Drosophila melanogaster: one gene and its partner. The gene in region 1 interacts genetically with each later gene. Each region holds a gene or a part of one and is shown on either strand. Other genes may lie near its edges.

Region 1 (5,094 bases):
AAGAGGTAAACAACGTCTATCGCCGGACTATCGGTTATCGATATAGAACACAGTATGGCAGCGCTCCTTAGGGCTGTCAAGTGTTGGAATTATCGCATTTAGTAAATAACATAATAAATTATTTACAAATGAATATATTTCAGAATGCATTTTTATAATTTACACAAGCACTGCAAACAATCGAACGTTTGTATTTTTATATTATTATTTTAAGAAAAAAAAATACTGCAAGCTTCTATTAAAAATACCAAACGCTGTAGGAGATTTGAATAGAATTGTTGTTGCGAAATTCTCTGCTCATTTTGAAAAAAATACTGCAAGCTTCTATTAAAAATACCAAACGCTGTAGGAGATTTGAATAGAATTGTTGTTGCGAAATTCTATGCTCACTTTGAAGTTGACGAAGGGGAAGTTCGCAGAAGGCGAACAAAACTAGTTGTAAAAATGTCTGCGGATCCAAAACTTTATGAATATGTCAATTGTCCCAACTCTAGCTCGCATTTGGTAATGCTGTTTAAAATGCCCTACCATTTGCCGCTTTGTGCCAAGAAATTTCCATCGGACGAATTAGCTCGCTGTCCATATAACAGAACCCATATGTACCCTATTGCCGATATATATGTAGGTTATGAATATATATTATATGTATGTAAGCAAATATTAAATTCAATTGTTTATCCCATTTGCAGGAACATATCATCAAGTGCCCGAGCTACTTACGCGAGGAGAGCCACAGCGACGCAAAAGAAGATGCCAAGGACTGTGATGCCAAGGAAAGTGATGCCAAGGACTGGGATGCCGACCCGCCGGTTTCGACATATGATCCGAATATCCACTGTGAGAAGAACCCTATCATTCGTCGTCTGCACGGAGCTACGCGCTCCTCTCGCCGGGCATTCCGCGAAAAGGAACGCAAGCGATTAATGGATTTGAATACTTTTCCTTAATCTATGAACATACTTACTTACTTACATACATCATATGAATACATACATATACATATACAACATACATACAAATAAACATATTTCATACATTTCGAAAAAGGAGCGTTTTATGTTAGCATAGATCAGCGTTTATTTAAAAATGTATTCAAATTAAAAATTAATAAGAGTTAATTCAAGGAATCTTCAACATATAATTTCATAAATATTCATATGGTAATTAAAATTACAAATAAGAGAGCCACAATTGGCGGCAATTTTGTTTTTTTTTTTTGCTTTCTGCCGCCACTTGGAAATGTACAGCAATTCCTGTTCAATATTTACTTCGTTTTCTTTTGCATCGCTTTCTGCCGCCAATTGGAAATGTGCTGCAATTTGGGTTATGTAGCTGCCCGCCCTGTTCAAAAATTCCTGGAAAATAAGATTTTACTGAATTGAATGTTTTTAAATCTTGATAAAAAGGTAAGATCATTGGGCGAGTATATATATACATCCAGTGAGTGTGTAAATAAAGTAATGTTTCATTGTTTTTACTAAATATGCATATGTTTGCTTGTATGCATTTCTTTCCTTTTTCTTTTAAAAACTACTTCTCTGAGATGCCACTCTGTTGGACCATTCCCAGAAGCCATCAAAATTCAATAAGTTTCGTTTATCTTAGTTTTCCTCATAGGCAGGCTTACTACATAGGATTGAATTTGTATTTACATATATTTGCAAACTTTTTAATAAACTTCCCCGTTTTAAGGGGAAGCTTCGCCAAGTGCGCTTTTATAACCCACCACCTTACCAGAATCGAACAGTCTGGCAGCACGGTCTCGCCGAAAAAGTATAAAAACCCACGTCTCGTCGCTCTCTGGTTCAGTCGAGTTGAGTTTTCACGGCGTGAACAACAGTGTGCGTTATTGGTTCCTTATTCTGCGGTTCTTCAATCCTTTTTGTTCCAATCCTACTGAAAAAGAAATCAAAAGTTCACATCGTTAAGCGGCAAAAACAACAAAAGCGAAGGTGAATAAGGCATAAAAAACAGCACACGCAACTGAATAGTTGTGGGTGTGCGAGTGTGTGTATGCGCGTGTGAAGGAGCCTTTTAGTAAACACTCACACACTTGTGTATTTTTTTTCTGTGAGACACAAGATATTTGAGTGCATTTTTTGCCATTTGCCTTGCCAACCCCTCTCCCCCGCACGCATATAAGAAGAGAAAGAGAGGCAGGGAAAAAATAAAGGAGCCCACGAAGAAAAGCAACAACTATTAAACAGGCTCCTCATCGTATAAAAGCAGCGCAGCCGCCGTCAACGTCAACTGCAGTGGGCCAACGTCGTTGCAGTCGTGTCGTTAGTTTTTGTTCTTGTTGCAGCAGCAGCATCAAAGACAGAAGTAGAGAGAGCGAGCGAAACAGCCGGAGAGACAAAACAAAAAGCACTTAGGTAAGTGGCAAAATAAAAAAAAACGCAGAAACAGCAGCAGCAGCAACAACAACATCGATCTTGACGAAGACCAATTCAAAGAAGCAAGCGAAAAAAACTGCCGGCGAATGCGAATATAAAAGCAAAAACGAAATTACAGTCGCGGTCACAAAATTATGCCATATTAGATGATTTCAATAAAAATAGGTGAAATTTAAGAATTTGTTGATGCGCGTTATTTGCTCCAATTGGAAAACGTTGGTCTACGTGATAAAATCAACCGGCACACACGCACGCACCCGAAAATTCGAGAAAAACTGAAACGAGGAAAGCCGAAACCGAAAAAAAAAACAGCTGCCCACATTGGATGGGGGGTGAATTTGTTTGTTTTTTTTTCTGCCTGCCAAACTTGTTCCTTAGGCTTTTTGATTTTATTTTCGTTGTCTCGAGGTTTATTTGCATTCGGCGCCCCGTCCAATGTTTCCATGTCATCCGATTTTGTTTTCCCATATTATCTACCAGAATTGCTGGCTCACAGTGGTGGTACAATTCACTCTGCATAATTAACGATTATTTAAGTATTTAACAAAATCAGATGCAAATGCAATATGACCTAAAGTATAATATGACTCCAAACCCGAGATGTGTTATTAGAAGGGTTCTGGACGGGGAATTTTGCAAACAATTCCAGGCAAAATACAAAAAAATTTCAATTTTTCTGGTTACTGGATGCCAAACAAATACAGTTCTCAGTTTATAAAAGGCATAACAAAACCATCAAATTTATTCTGTAGTTTCAAAAAGAGTGGGTGACACAAATTGGTTTTTAATTTCTTTTATATCTATTTATGCAATTCATGTGCGCCTAATAGTTCGATCTCTTCTGTTAAAAAAAACAAACAACAGCATTCAATGGTGAGAACGTCTCTGCTTCTTTTTCTTGTTCTTTTTATTGGACATTGCTTATGTATTTTATTTTTTGCGAAATGTTTGCGACGCAATTTCGACAGCGTCACTTTATTTTTATGCTCTTTTCCATCGCTCCTCTTTATCTCTCTCTCCACTTCTTACAAACTCAACCTTTTCCTGATTTCGGGGTTAAAAAATAATTTCGGACACGCATCAATAAAAAGCGCGAAGGTGGAAAAGAGATTCGAAAAAAATGCTGAAAAGCGTTCATTTTGTTATTTCTGTTGTTGTTGTTATCCGAAAAAGGGGGCACAACAAGTGCGAAAGAAGGAGATGAAGAATCAGATGAGAAAGAGACCGGAAGGAGACGGCAATAAAAACATAGAAATTCGTGAGGCGCACAAAATTTTCAAGGTTATACCGGGCAAAACAAACATAAGACCGGTAACAGCATATGTATATGTATGTACATCCATATTACAGAGGGGGAAATACATAAGAATCCGCGTTTAAAGAAGAGGAGAAAGCACAAGCGGCGCAATATAAAAAGCACTCAAAAAACAAAAACAACACATGAAAACACAAAAAAAAAAACAACACATGCGGCTCTTTTTTGCACGTTATCTTTGTTTTCATTTGTATTATGCTGACATCTATATGTACATGGATGAAAGAATTGTATGAGAAGAGTGCCAAATCGACAATTTTACAACCGAAAATTGCGATAATTAATCAGAAAAGTTTATCAAACGAATGTACATAATTTAAATAAATCATATTATGTATTCGTGTTGGTTTGTTTGATTTGATTTTATACATATTTATGTTTGTGCTATATAGCATTTAAATTAAAAGTGCAAAACAGCATAAAAACATTTCAAATAAATAGGGAAAACAAAAGCAGCTGGAAAAGTAAAACATGTGTATGTATGTAGGCACTTATGTACACCAAAAGCAATTACATAGGCATGGAAATACAAGCAACTTTCAATTTAGAGTTAGTGCGAAGGAGACGGCTATATTGCTTGTGGGGGTTGCAAAGCTTTAACGGTAACAAAATTATGTAGTAGCTTTGGTGTTGTTGTTGTTGCGTGACCTTGAATTTCGTCTATAGGGGAGTTTCGATACATGTCCCTATCGCTATCCCTGTCACACCCACGCCCATTGACAAACATTTGCAATTTCCAAGACGCAGTACCGTTATTATATACAGATGCGGTCAAAAAAATGGCGCGAAAGCTGAACATATTATTATGGGTATATCTTAAAAATGAAAACCTAGAAACTTTTTGCAAAATTGTTAGCACTTACAAAAAAAAATCCGTAAAATAGCGACCCCAGTCATTTGTACATAGTATATATTGACTTCTGATCTTGTCATTACAATTACTTTGTATTATTGTGAGCATTAAATTTATGGGCATGCCAAAGAGCTTGTTCTATATTTAGGCAAAAACTATTAGATTTGAATAGCCCGAAAAAGAAACCTAACTGAACTTGGAAAGAAGGGGTTTCTGAGGGGCCATTGTCGGCTACGTGCCAGACATCATGTGTATTTATTTTAGTTCCATGTTTTTCACAGCCGCGACGCGCACAATAAACAAGTAAAACTTTCGCTGACTAACATCCCGTCTTTAAGGCGAGACATGTAAAATATACAAACGAAGGCGTTTCCTAAGAACAGTGACACCAAACCACGCCATCAACGTTCTCTATCTCTTCTATATGTACATATGTTTTCCTAAAGTTTCAAGTTTCATAATTGCACCGAAGACCCGACCCATTGCTTTAAACGATTAAATTGCATATTCGTAATCAAATTTGTTGTAGT
Region 2 (6,686 bases), on another chromosome or scaffold:
CACACGCACGGGGGATGAGACCAAGAGCAAGAGCAAGACCAAGGAGACCAAGACAGACAGAAACAGAAACCGTACGCCGCAGCTCCACACACACGTCCGACTCGCTGGGAATTTTCGAAGCGTTCGAGGCGGATTTCAAAAGTCGAATGAGCGCAAAGCAGAACCATAAACCGATTTTGAATTCGAGAAAACCCACTCGAGAGAGTGAGAGATGGAGAGAGAGTGGCGAAAGAGTGCGCGCTGCAGGGGGCTGCTTGCCTTGCCTCTGCTCCAAAGCGCTCAATTCCAAGCCGTGAGTCACCCGTTCACTCACCCACTGCCACTGCTTTCGAGTGGGGCAGAGAGTGAGCGAGCGAGAGCCGTAGCCAGGGCGAGTGCAACGGTGCGCCTGGAGTGGGTGTGTGAGCGAGACGGTCGTACGAGGCGGGCCGTTATTAATCAGCCGGCTGCGGACAATGCAAATGAGCGAGTGAGAGCAGACGATGACTCAACGGCGGCTCTCCGAGTGAGTGTTATGAATCGTCACTTTGTTGGCCGGCACTGAGTAACTGTCATAAATTAAAAATAGCCTTTAATTTCAACGCCTATATGTTCGAATCCCATCTCACATATCATAATGTGCTGCGCTGCACCGCACCCGCAATATGTTAGCATTGGCTGCTTGACAAATCGAATGGAATACCGAGTACCGAATGCCGTATGCCGAATACCGACCGGCTGCTGCTGAACTTTTCCCACTTAATTTTTTGCACACTTATACACACAGGCATACACACACACACACCCGCAGACGGCGACGCACAGCCAACGCGGTTGGCCAAGTAGCGCGTACATGTGTGGGTTTTCGCCATTTAAGGCGTGCACCCAGCACGAAAGTCGCTTTGTACGCAATTTACCCAAAGTGTTGGTCGGTTTTCGATTTTTGTCGAACCACCCCACGTTCAGTAAGTCTAGAGAAATCTCTTTCTAAACGGATTTCCAGGAAACCCACGGCACTCACACTGTTCACACGCTGCGGTAAAAATTCAGAGTGACCGTCGACAAGCGGTAGTACTGGAACACAAGTCGCTGTTCGCTCGAAACAATCGATGTGTGCCAAAATTCGATCACGATATTCCTCGCAATCGATTGTATTCGCTATTTGCCTTCGTAAGTCCCGGTTAGACCAGCGGCATGAAAAGTTTAAATTCACTTCCACATTCGAGTACTATGAGATAAGATTACTGTACTTAAACTCAAAAAGATTCAAAACAACACTGATCGTTAAGCTACTAAGACAAATAGCTGGCCGGTTCCAGTCCCACGATTTAAAAACAGTTCACTGAATAGCAGCATATGTAAAATTCCATACTTTCATATATTTGTATAATATGATTCACATAAGGTTGTTGTTCAAATGGTTGAATACTACAATTAAGTCTTTACAACAAGAGAATGTAATCTGTTGGAAAACAATATTACAATCAAATTTATTAAACAAATATAAGATTCGGGTTTAAATATTTATACTGGTGGAAAACTTTGATGGGCGTAATATCGATAGCAAATAAAATAGCGAAGTCAGGCACCCCAGCTCTGGGTCTGCAGCCCTGAACTTCAAGTGGCACCTCCAAAATAACGTAAAAAAGTGCAAAATAATACAAATTGAATTCAAAATATTTGCATTATTTTATGCTTTGTTTTTCTTTACCATACACACTGCGAAGCCGCAGCGAAATTGCCGGATATCCGCTAACATCTGGCGATAGTTGGCGATCGATCTATCGATAGTCGCTAATGTTTTCTTACATCACTAAAACTTTTGCAAGATGGAGCCTCTTTTGCTTGGTTTTAACAAATCAGTAGCAGCACGTGTATAAAAAGTGCCAAATAATTTTCAGAAAATGTTAGTATATACCCTAGATTAAGCGTTTGAAATGTAAAAAGCCGCAAGGCGATCTTGTGCCGCATCGATTCCGCAACTGCTTAGCATAATTTCCGCGTGTTTTAATGCAAAAAACGCGATTTTAAATTTCTGACGGTCAAAATGAGTGGAAAAAAATTACACGCCCGTATGACAGTGCAGGGAGTGGGAGTGAGAGGCAGCCACCATGCGAGCGAGAGAGAGCGAGCGCAGTGGTTGCTCCAAGAGAGTTTTGTTGCTGGACTCGGTCTTTGCACCCCTCCCCCTTCGCCTTGGCGAAACCTAGAACTCCGAACTGGGGACTTTTGTTGAAGTCCGGTGACGTCGGTGTCGCCACTTGACTGGATTTTATGCACTCTCGTCCGTCCGTTCGCTTGACTCATGACTGGACAATGACGCAGACCGCTGATTCTATCTTTAGTGGACGACGGCATTCGTGGGCTGATTTAGCCTTGCTCCAACTCAATTTTCGATTTGCTTTGGAATATTTGCCTGTCAGTCGGTTTTTTTTTTCTATCCCCACCCCGCCGTACTGTCAAAACTACTGCTATTTTCGATCAACTACTACCATTCGCAACTGGTGTTAGGCAACACTGGCGCCACTGTTACGTGCTAATATCGCTCGGCTGCTCTCGCCCGTTGACATTGACACGAACGACACTAGGGTCGTCCCGCTCGCACACGCTCAGGGGCGGACTCTCGCCGCTTGTCGCTCAAAAAGGCTGCCTAGCTATCGCTTTCGGTCTCATACGTAAAGTCACCGCTTCGCAGAGCGCATCGCAGCACAAACGTAACGGACTAAAAGCAAAGCGCTCGATAGCTCGAGAAAACAACACAGTCGGCGTTCGGCCCGAATTCTCCGTTATTCGTTCTAGACAAATAGGCAAACAGTTGATTGAGTGAACCGGGCCCAAGCCGTCGAAATTCAGGATATAAGTTTACCTAGTCAATTCTTTATTGTTGATAATGTGAGTGGTTGCCAAGCGGCGCTCGCGGTTTTCGATTCTCCCTCCACCAGCCTTACTTACTTTTCGCTTTTCTGCCATTCGCCATAACCAACAATTGTGGCTGGAAAATTTTTTACCCCCGTCCCGCTACTGCTTTTGTTGTTGTTTCCACTGTTCCGCCCCACTAACGCATTCTCGCTTTCTTGCAGGGATGACCGAAATGAGATACCTCAGGATGGCCCCGCCAGCATGGAACCCGAGGGCGTCATCGAGTCCACCTGGCACGAGGTGTACGACAACTTCGATGACATGAACTTGCGCGAGGAGTTGCTGCGCGGCATCTACGGTTATGGTTTCGAGAAGCCGTCGGCCATCCAGCAGCGCGCCATCATTCCCTGTGTGAGGGGTCGCGATGTCATTGCCCAGGCCCAGTCGGGTGAGTAAATGGCTCCGAGTCCCCCATCATCATCTTCACCATCATCCCCCTCGATCAGTCACAAAGAAAAACTTTCGAGAATGTGCAAAATCGGCGAAAAAACAGCACGATGACTCAGCCGCTGCGCCTGTATTTCTTTGTTGAAATTCCGCTTTGCAGCACTCTCTTTCTTCTCCTTATACTCTCTCTCTTCCGTCCGCTCTCTTCGATTGTCGGCGTCGTTGCGCTTGCGCGCCACTTTTCGCTGACCAGCTGCGTTTCGGTTTCTCGGCCGCCAGGCCAGAAGAAAGTTCCCAGAAAGAAGGTCGCTCTTCGAGCGCTCTTGGCGAATTCCAGCTGCTATGCGTTTTTAAGGTCATCTGTTCCAAATGCGATCTACCTACATTGCTCATTCGGCACTAATCCATTTTGCAGGCTCTGCAAAAGAGGCTCTATATACATATTAATATAGTTCATTCTCAACTCCTGTTTTGTGTTCTGGCACTTGCACCTGCCTATCGATGTATAGGCAGGGATTAGTGGCCAGCTCGACCCTGAAATGGCACATCAGCTACCTGATGAAACGATGGACAACTGTCTTTATTCCATTGATCTTTCCGTCATTCAAGTTTACGCCTAACAGAATTGCATAACAAATGGCGTACTGGTTAGTCGAAAATTGGAATTTTGCTGAATTTCCATAAGAATATCACATAGTTAGAAAAGTAATTGTGTATAGTCCGTAGCACACACTATTCTGCATACTAACCATTTTACCTTTAATCTCCTCCGTAGGAACTGGCAAGACTGCCACCTTCTCGATTGCTATCCTTCAGCAAATCGACACGAGCATTCGCGAGTGCCAGGCGCTGATCCTGGCCCCCACTCGCGAGTTGGCCACGCAGATCCAGCGCGTGGTGATGGCGCTCGGCGAGTACATGAAGGTGCACTCGCACGCCTGCATTGGCGGCACTAACGTGCGCGAAGACGCCCGCATCTTGGAATCCGGTTGCCATGTGGTGGTGGGCACTCCTGGCCGCGTCTACGACATGATCAACCGCAAGGTGCTGCGCACCCAGTACATCAAGCTGTTCGTGCTGGATGAGGCCGATGAGATGTTGTCCCGCGGTTTCAAGGATCAGATCCAGGATGTCTTCAAGATGCTGCCCCCAGATGTGCAGGTCATCCTGCTGTCCGCCACCATGCCGCCGGATGTGCTCGAAGTGAGCCGTTGCTTCATGCGTGATCCCGTCAGCATCCTGGTTAAGAAGGAGGAACTGACCCTTGAGGGTATCAAGCAGTTTTACGTCAACGTGAAGCAGGAGAACTGGAAACTGGGCACCCTTTGCGATCTGTACGATACGCTGTCCATCACCCAGTCGGTAATCTTCTGCAACACCCGTCGCAAGGTAAATTCACTCATTCTTATAATTGTGTGAAGCTGGATTAGTTTCAATCGCAAAGCCGATAAGTTGCTAACAAAAATGTCTACCCATTCTTCAGGTGGACCAACTGACCCAGGAGATGTCTATCCACAACTTCACCGTCTCGGCCATGCACGGCGACATGGAGCAGCGTGATCGCGAGGTCATCATGAAACAATTCCGTTCGGGCTCGTCTCGTGTTCTGATTACCACTGATTTACTGGCGCGCGGTATTGATGTGCAGCAGGTGTCGTTGGTCATCAACTATGATCTGCCCTCGAACCGCGAGAACTACATTCATAGGTAAGTGCTCACCACCTCGCCCCTGAATCTACTCAGCTATGTGCTATACTAAACATGATACCATCACTTTCAATCTATTTCAGAATTGGTCGCGGTGGTCGTTTCGGTCGCAAGGGTGTTGCGATCAACTTTATTACAGATGATGATCGACGAATCCTTAAGGATATTGAACAGTTCTACCACACAACAATTGAGGAAATGCCTGCTAATATTGCCGATTTGATTTAAATTTTTTCTGCTGAGCCGCAAAACAACTAAGAAAGAATTCTAAACAAAAAGTGAGTGAGCAAAACAGCAAACAAGAACTGCGAAATCGATAACCGAGCGCAACTATAAATTATTCAAAGATCAACAAGTCAAGTTAAATATTTATTATTCAAATATTAATTCGAAAAGGCAGCCGACCGACCACCCAAAAAAAGGACTAAACCAGGACAGAGCAGCAACATCTTCAGCAGCGGCGCAGCAGCAGTAACATCAGCAGCAGCGGAAGCGGCAGCAACACCACCACCAATTGCCGATTAGCCGGAACCCCTCTGTATCCATTTAGTTCTCTGTGTATCATCAATTTTAAAACTGCGTTGTCAACCAGCAACAACAAATATATACAAATATATAAAAAAAAAAAAACAAAACTTAAAACAACATTTGCATCTATCTAAAAAAAGTAATATCTGAAACCAGGTACAAGATACCACTTGCTAAGAAGAGCGAGGAACTAAACGCAAAAGCCACAATATCAGAACACCTTTTTGCCGCACCTTTGTTTTAGCTTTTTCTAGAACTATTGATAAAAATATATTAAAACAAAACAAAATACATATGTACACATTATGTTTAAATATACCACTCCTAAAAAACAGCTGACAACCGAAGCAACATTTTACGCTAAACACGAACACACAGCGAATCCACCCAGATCTATAAATGTATTAACATATAGCTATATATCTTTCGGGGTATGGCCAAAAAATATATGGTTGCCGCTATTGGGTGTATAGCATGAGTTGATATAGCTGTGGATATATACAATTGGGTGGTATTGTAGATTATGTTTAACAAAGCGGAAGTAAATTCCTTATCTCAAAACAGTAGAACGAAAATGGCTGTTTTTGAAAAGTTTTTATGTATCTGTTACGTACGGTTTGGGTTAACCTCATATTAACCCAAACCTTTTTAGCCAATTTCATAAGCTTTCGCTTTAAAACCAGCTCTCTAAGCAAGATGAGTTCCAAAAGTTAAACTAATTTTTTAAAACTTTCAACACCACTCCACTGCATATACTTTTAAAACGAAAGCGCAGTGGGTAAGTTGCATTTCGTTAAGCCTTCACATCAACTTATCGGTTGAAATTCTGATAACAAGCTATCGATAATCTATCGATTCGACTCGCAGCCCTATCACGTCAGGTCATATTAATTTTTCAATCCGCCCAGTTGGATGTTTGGACAGTTTCCTTCCTCGCGCCGGTCGATAATGTTGGCCAACTAACACCGACCTGTAGCACGTCACCCGTAATAACCCATAACCGCAACCAGTCCAAGCATCCAAGATGGGACAGAAAGTTTCGCGCACCGACTTCGAGTGGGTGTACACGGAGGAGCCGCACGCCTCGCGGCGCAAGATCATACTGGAGAAGTACCCGCAGATCAAGAAGCTCTTTGGCCACGACCCGAATTTCAAGTGGGTGGCCG

What was found.
Region 2: of Pdcd4 (region 1) and eIF4A, changing one suppresses a phenotype caused by changing the other (phenotypic suppression), as found in Drosophila melanogaster (one study listed by BioGRID).

The regions. Positions count from the first base shown.
Region 1 is NC_004354.4:13,752,111-13,757,204, reverse strand, and holds the start of Pdcd4 (programmed cell death 4), read left to right. Parts: upstream 1-1,798; 5' UTR 1,799-1,952; exon of another isoform or gene 1,953-2,375; intron 2,376-5,094. Other genes in the region: CG32625 (uncharacterized protein), read left to right, coding at 445-621, 690-947.
Region 2 is NT_033779.5:5,979,951-5,986,636, forward strand, and holds eIF4A (eukaryotic translation initiation factor 4A), read left to right. Parts: upstream 1-1,813; 5' UTR 1,814-1,883; coding exon 1,884-1,885; intron 1,886-2,412; exon of another isoform or gene 2,413-2,869; coding exon of another isoform or gene 2,870-2,871; intron 2,872-3,059; coding exon 3,060-3,286; intron 3,287-4,060; coding exon 4,061-4,674; intron 4,675-4,768; coding exon 4,769-4,992; intron 4,993-5,075; coding exon 5,076-5,220; 3' UTR 5,221-5,959; downstream 5,960-6,686. Other genes in the region: ifc (infertile crescent), read left to right, coding at 6,545-6,686. UniProt on the Drosophila melanogaster protein: ATP-dependent RNA helicase which is a subunit of the eIF4F complex involved in cap recognition and is required for mRNA binding to ribosome.